2 linked regions of the Bombyx mori genome follow. The main gene of each other region encodes a partner of the protein of the gene in region 2 in a complex. Links are inferred from orthologs where the notes say so. Each region holds a gene or a part of one and is shown on either strand. Other genes may lie near its edges.

Region 1 (3,174 bases), on a different chromosome or scaffold from region 2:
CAACATTCGGACCGTCGGTCTACCGAGCAATATCATCCGCTCGGTGGAAGATCTTTCCTTTCGTCGTTAAGCCTTCCCCAAACCCCAAATTTCCAAATGAGTGTATATACTTGTGTATATATGTGATCTCCAACCAGTTGAAAGCTTGTATGGATAGGTACGACAATCCTGCCCATTTCAGCTGAGAAATAATAATGTGCTCTGCTTTGAAAGGTAGGACGGCCAATAGAATCGAAATTTATTGAGATTTCTATGGGCTCTGGTTATCACTTAAAACTACATGTACCTTATACCTGTACTAGTAATGAAATAATGAAATATAGGGAGATAGAGGCATTTGAAGATGATTTATTACAATTTAAAATTTTACCCTTCATATTAAAGATTTAAATTTAAGTTATTAGTGCTAAAAGAGATACTACTAGTTAGTTTTATTTTTTTCAGTTGGGCACTAAGGAAAGCAGAGAAAGAAAGGCACACACTTTTAAAATGTGTACACATTTACAAGAAACACAAAGTGCAGTATGAAATTCGTACATACTTCAGGTTTATACATATGCAGAGGCTCACTGGATCTACGTGCGACACATATTTGGAATATATCGAACGGAATCTGCCAGAAGGTTGTGCGTTGAAAGTTACAAAAATTGAATGTCAAAAGTTACCTGAACATTTAGTACCGCCTAAGAAAGAAAGCGAAGAGTGAATTGCCATTGTAATAATTTAGAATAAAAATAAATTAGTTAAATGTTATTTAGTTTAATACTTTATTTTTCACCAACTCTAATTTATAAATATTAAAAATCAATAAAATTAAATTAAATATATTTAATTAACAGACACATAAAGATCAAAAGCCAACTTTGAACATTAAAGTTAAAAAAACAGTCTTAATTTACATGTTGCTCTTGATTTTATTCAAAGCGGTATAATATAATAAGATGATCACAGTAATTCTAATGCAGTTTTCACAAAGGGGATTACTAATGTTACAAATGGCTAGAAACATAAAAATGCAGACTAGTAAATATAATGTTACCAGATTAACAACAAAGTAAGGAGAATCATAAGGCATGAGATTATATTTTTTCACATGTTTCTAACTTTTAGTAATCCTAGTTTACTACACAAGAGTAATTACAATGATCAAATTGAATTAATGCTATATTTAATAAAAATATGGAATGTTTGCAATATTTGAGGTTCAGGTTTTCATTATTTAATCAAATTGTTGATTTTTACATACAGTAAAAATAAATAAGATTGCAAAAGCAAACTCGAGAGCATGGAACATTAACATGACGGCACACCAGATGTATTCCAACCGAAGTATGTAAGTTTGATAAATTAGAAAATAACATACTCCTACAGCAGAGGGAATCGTCAATAGCACTGACAGAAAGACCGGTATTTCTGTAACAAAAACATTGTTAACATATTATGGTGAAAAGTAACATTGAACGAAACGAAAATAGTTTCTATTTTAATTTACTTAAGACACAAAATATTTTTTTGCGATTTAGTACATATTCCGTACAACAACGAATCTTGAAATATATTTTTGCAGAATATTGAATATATACGATACTTACTTTTGCTTGCTAAGTTTCCTCTACGCCCCAAAAAGATCCTAATCATCTCTACAAAGCATAGGGCGCTAAATATTCCGGCTTCTGTTAATAGAGCGTTTTCTGGATACGAAACATTTATAGCCTTCAATATCCCCATTGCGACTTCACAAACGATAAACATTCCTAAATAAAAACTGTTCAAATACAGTAATATCTCATAAGCCAAACTCGAATTAACGTTTGTTACTTTCGACATTTTTTCCATATTTTATAAAATTGTACGAATGTATTGAAAAGTTTCTAAATTGAGAGGAGGCTGTTTCGAGGTTTCGTATGTAATAAAAATCAATGTTTTTGTTTACACTTTTTGAAATTTGTAGTAGTAGTAGTTTTATTTTTTCAATTGGAAGGGCACAGGTATCATACCATACAGCCAAATCTTTTATATATTAAAAAAATTAAAAAATATATTATTAATATGAAATGAAAAGAAACGAAGTTGATTGATTTGGAACATTAATCAATTGGCAATTGGCAAATTAAATGAAATGATATGAGATAATATAGAATGAAATATATTGTCAGTAAAATGGTGGTTAATTACTGAGACTTTCTCAATGGAATTTTCGGAGAATCCTGAAAAGTAACGTCCAGCGACTTTTTTTCATTTTCCCACATTTGTGCACTTCCACAGATACTAAACAGTTAATAAATCACCGCTGTTACATATTTAAACCTAAAGAAACATTAGATATATAGACAATACTGAGATAATACATGAGATTGACAATACAACTACATGAGAAATACATGAGACTGACAATATAACTATATTGAGACCTTAGAACTTATATCTCAAGGTGGGTGGCGCATTTACGTTGTAGATGTGGATAGTCGTAGATAGATTATGGGCTCCAGTAACCACTTAACTCCAGGTGGGCTGTGAACTCGTTCACCCATCTAAGCTATAAATAAAAAAAAGCTCTTTGCTATATTATAGCGCCCAGTAAATATTTGACTACTACAAGGCTTTTTTCTGTGTTATTTACACTAAAACTGTGTTTTTATTTAGAGAAGTCTAAAAGCTCACGGTTCGTCTGGTGTAAAGTGGATACCAAACACCAAACATCATAAGAATAATGGCGAACCCACCTTTAGACATGATGTCAGAGTTTCAATTTTATTATATAACAGCTGATCCATCCTTCAAATGCATAACTGCTTTGCGGTAGAAATGGGCAGGATCATTATTATATCTACTCATACGGGCTTCCAATACGTCCTACTACCTGTAACCTACCAGTAAATTATCAATATTTTTATTGCTTCGAGATGGACAGACTAACTTCAACCCGACTCTTCATACTGGAACACCTTACTGGCTTGCGACAGATATAGCTATACAATACGCTTTGAGAACAATAAATGCGGTTTGATGAATACAGTATGCTGGTTAAGAAATCGCATCTCGGCCTCAAATAGTGCTTTAAGACAAAAAAAGAAATGGTCATTTATAGTTTATTATTTAATTTAATTTTATAAATACCTAACACTTTTTCACTTTTTTTTTAATTAACAAATTTAATCAGTATTTTATACGGGT
Region 2 (4,242 bases):
GGTGCACCAATAAAAGGTTATGGAGAAGAAACAACTAGGAGAAGACGTACCCATGTCAGTCATGCAGTATATGAAAAAGATGGAGTGAAACATATGAGAATGAGATTCTATATTAAAGGGATAAGAAATAAAGGTGTTGTTGAACTTGATATGAAACAAGTAAGTTCTGTTTAAATAGAAATGTGTTTAACAACTTAAAAGTTCAAATAACACCATACATCTGAATAATTTGTATACACCTCATCAATTTCTTATAATCTCTGTTTAAAATTTTCTATTTTAATAAATTCATTTAAAATCTTTCCAATTCACCAGTACACTTGTTTTTTCAGAATGATTATGGAAACTATATGTGCAGATATTTGCTGGTACAACTTGATGACTACAGTGGAAAAACATTTATAATTGAGGACAACCGAGCTGAATTAGATAATACCAAACCTGATATCGCATTTCCAACCTTAACTCTCACTCAGTGATATAAAATTAACTATGTAACATGTAAATAGTAAAGTAGATATCGAATAAATGATTAGCAAAATAAAATTGTTTCGTTTCATATTATTATGTAAAGTTTTAGTTTAAAAAATAATAAATATAGTGAGCACTTTCATATTGAAATCTTTTAAATATATAGAATACTATACCTTCTTCTGACACCATAAGAATAGTTTTGGAATATGAATCTTATTAATTAAATTCTTTGAGCCAATGAAACTTAATGCTTATAATATCATTTTATTGCAAACATTAAAACATGTTTATCCTTATTAATAATTAAAGTGAATTTTACAGTGAAGACTAGAAATTGGCACAAATCAATTATTTCGCAGTACAATTTTATAGATCTTACATAAGTTCGTCATTCAAATGTTTTCCAAGATTGTACTTTCCATGACATGAGAAGTCGATTGGTAAATATAAATTCCTTAACTTTATTGAAGAACCAATGGAATATCACTACAAAAGAGAGATATTGAGGCCAAGCCCACTTAAACTCTTCTAGTATACTAGGAGTGTATCTTATTTGCATCTCTGGAATTCTTAGATGAACTTGAACAGTCATAGAATCTGTCTGGCCATTGTAGGTTCTAGAATTTATCGTTCTGACTTCTGTGGTAACTGAAAATAGTTTATTTTTTGGTTATGAATGTAGTTGAATAAATATGCTGTAGGTTTACTTATATCAGTGGTTACTGGACTCTGGTAACATTAGAACTTGAATGCTACTCTGCAGATCACATTAGGCTGACGTATCAATAAAGGCAAACCCACACTTCAAACTGAAATTAATGGCAGCAGCAGAACCACAGAAATAATAGCAGAACTGTATAACTGATTTGTAACTGGTATGGACTTTCAATGCGCCCGAATGGTATAGTAATTTGGGATAACCAGGAAGTTTAGATCTACTGTGGATAGATTATGAAAAATAATAGACAAACTATTATCAAGTAACTTTCTTTGGCCTATTATCTAGCTGTTGAAAGAATGAATACCTGATTAGTTTTGATCCAATGGACAGTGGAGCATTATGTTTTTTATTAAGTAACTTGAGTTTATTTGCCTTACTAAAGAAGGATTATCATTGATAATCAAATCTTTATTAACTCAGGATAAATGTTACAATTTTGTGTTAAAATTACTGTAGGTTTATGGCCTTCTGTCTGTGGCTGCACAACAATAGCCATTATTTTTGTCTTCAATGCTGTTACCAATATTAAAATATGAATAAGCACAAAATGTATATTTGTAAAAATAAATAATCTTACCTTCTCTATGAAAATAATCAGACAGATAATGATCAATAGACATGTAACTTTCCCATTTTTCAATTTCAAATAAAGATCTGTTATATTTCGTATCTTGATTAAACCATTCACAAGGTAAGTGGGTGGTTTGATAAAAATTTAGATCTCCATGAAAAATTAATTCTGATGGTGGTATTACAAACTCTTTGGTAATCAATGCCAAGCTCTGCATTTGTAAAGGGCATATTGTCTGCAAGAAGAAAACAAAAGGATTCTATTAAAGTATTTGTTCCATATTTAAAGCACCTATTTATAAAATATAAATAAACAGAAAAGATTTAGTACCTTTTTTTATTAAATATCTAAAATGTCAAAAATAGTTAAAAATACCTTCAGCTGAAAATCAAGAGATAAAATTAATAAAATAGAAGACACAGTTCTGTCTGGTGGTATATTTAGGTGAAATTTAATATACAGCTCATCCTTTTTGCCATCTCCAGTGAAATCATTTTCTTGAACCTGGAAATACATGTTTTTAATAATTTTATTCATCAAAAACTGTAGTTGGTCATGTTATCAGTATAAAATGTACTACACAGTGTATTTAGTCTTATTTCATAACAAACTCATTGTCTATATAGTTATGTAATTTGTATTTACACAGTACAATTCTTTCGATAAAAATTCATTACCTGCATTTCTGCACATGATTCAGAGCTTTCTTCATTATCATTACCAAACAATCCAATTTCTGTACAAAGTATGGGTTTACTGGGATCCTCAGTTTCGGCTATTAGTACATACTCATACGTAAAATGAACAGTTGGCTGTTCATAAAAACTGTGATATTTCACCCAGAGCCCTGTAAAAATACATATTTGTATTACGATCTTATATTTCGATATCTATTCGGTAATTACTGGCTATTTCAAATAATTTAATTTTAACGATAATAGGACCGTTTCTGTATACTGTTAAGTATTTTCTGGACATGGTTCACTCAGCTGATTTTAGCAAGGCTAAATTGGAGTTCTAACCTCTACTTTTCTGAGCTATAATAAAAGGCAGTATAATATTTAAGATAGACGTAAAAAGAGTAAAGAACATGGCTTTGGAAAGGAAGGTACTTTTATACTGTATTTCGACATTTGAACTAAACAATTTGTACAAGCTCATTTTAAAATATAAAATTTACAGTGTTTTCGGTGTACTAATATGCGTAAAATGTTAAATATCAATAGCATTGACCTGCAAAACAAACCGTTGCTAAGCAACGACTTTTTTAGGGCAGAGGGTTTTTCTGAATTATTTTACAATTAAATGCAAACTTTAAATTCCTGAATCAAAAATATATATGTACTCTAGAAGCGTTAAATTAAGGAATATAAAGAAATAATGATTCAACATCAACTGGTCAAAGGGCGAGCTATAGCTCTCGTTTACATATATAGAATTTTTCTACTCTTTGATTCTAGGATGGTTTATGATCATTTTAGCAATCATAAATCTTTACTGGTCGTGGAGCTTCGTGTGAGTCCATACTTACATCACCCTGCCTATTTCTACCGCGAAAAAGTAATGCATTCCAGTTTGAAGAGTGGGGCAGCCGTTATACTATAACATTGAGACATCAACCTCATATCTCAAGGAGGGTGGGACGCTATTAATGTCGTGATGTCTATGGGCTCCCGTAACCACTCAACTCCAGCTAAACAGTAAGCACGTTCACCAAATTATGAAAGATTAGATTTTTTCTGAGAACGGAGTCCAAAATTCTTCAATATTGATACGAGTTCTCTTCAGAGACACTCAGTAAGAAGTAGATCCGACCTTACGCTTCTAGAGTCAGAATAAATAGGTGTTTATCGTTTATTTTTAAAGAATAAAATATATATTTTATTATTGTAAAATTTTCTACATGCACCATAGCTTAATGTTAAGACGCCCAGGGTTGTGGTTGAAGGCATTTGTGTTGTCTATTGGCCTAAACGACCATTTAATCTTACGTGAACTCATTCATTCATCTACGAAAGTGAACTATCTTTTTCAGCAAGGATCCTGGCGTAGACAAAGGGAGGGAGGCGGGTTTGGTTCATAATGCCGGCCATTCAAACGGACACTTCGTTTCAAGGTGCATATGAATTAAGCTTTTCCGCCAATACAGTATTTAATATACTATTAAATATATACCTATTAGCTTTCTAAATGTTCCGGTACCCTAGTGAACTTTTATGTACTTTTAATATTTAAGTGCACTATGAAAGTCCCGCGTTTTGATGTTTTGAATTCACTGACATCTACTCACTGTAACTTATATTGGTATTATATTCTAATATTAACTCTCAATGACGGGTAATAAGATGGTCAATTTAATATGGAAAATACTTAATAATAAGTAACAAGACAAAAATTACGAGTCTTGAACAATTCTAAATTCACCATCTATGGCAATGGGATAGAGGAAGAAAAATTGTCGTGACAACAAAATAAA

Evidence for each region.
Region 1: transmembrane protein 231 (region 2) and transmembrane protein 216 share a complex: the UniProt entries of both Homo sapiens proteins name them as parts of the tectonic-like complex. The link is inferred for Bombyx mori from reciprocal best matches to the Homo sapiens genes TMEM231 and TMEM216.

Annotation. Positions count from the first base shown.
Region 1 is NC_085132.1:4,411,209-4,414,382, forward strand, and holds transmembrane protein 216, read right to left. Parts: upstream 1,969-3,174; 5' UTR 1,837-1,968; coding exon 1,593-1,836; intron 1,414-1,592; coding exon 1,220-1,413; 3' UTR 814-1,219; downstream 1-813. Other genes in the region: mRpS10 (mitochondrial ribosomal protein S10), read left to right, coding at 445-706. UniProt on the Homo sapiens protein: Part of the tectonic-like complex which is required for tissue-specific ciliogenesis and may regulate ciliary membrane composition.
Region 2 is NC_085110.1:12,598,583-12,602,824, reverse strand, and holds transmembrane protein 231, read right to left. Parts: upstream 2,947-4,242; 5' UTR 2,928-2,946; coding exon 2,789-2,927; exon of another isoform or gene 2,745-2,788; coding exon of another isoform or gene 2,711-2,744; intron 2,614-2,710; coding exon 2,444-2,613; intron 2,271-2,443; coding exon 2,142-2,270; exon of another isoform or gene 2,097-2,141; intron 2,002-2,096; coding exon 1,773-2,001; intron 1,123-1,772; coding exon 863-1,122; 3' UTR 726-862; downstream 1-725. Other genes in the region: mitochondrial import inner membrane translocase subunit Tim21, read left to right, coding at 1-159, 333-479. UniProt on the Homo sapiens protein: Transmembrane component of the tectonic-like complex, a complex localized at the transition zone of primary cilia and acting as a barrier that prevents diffusion of transmembrane proteins between the cilia and plasma membranes.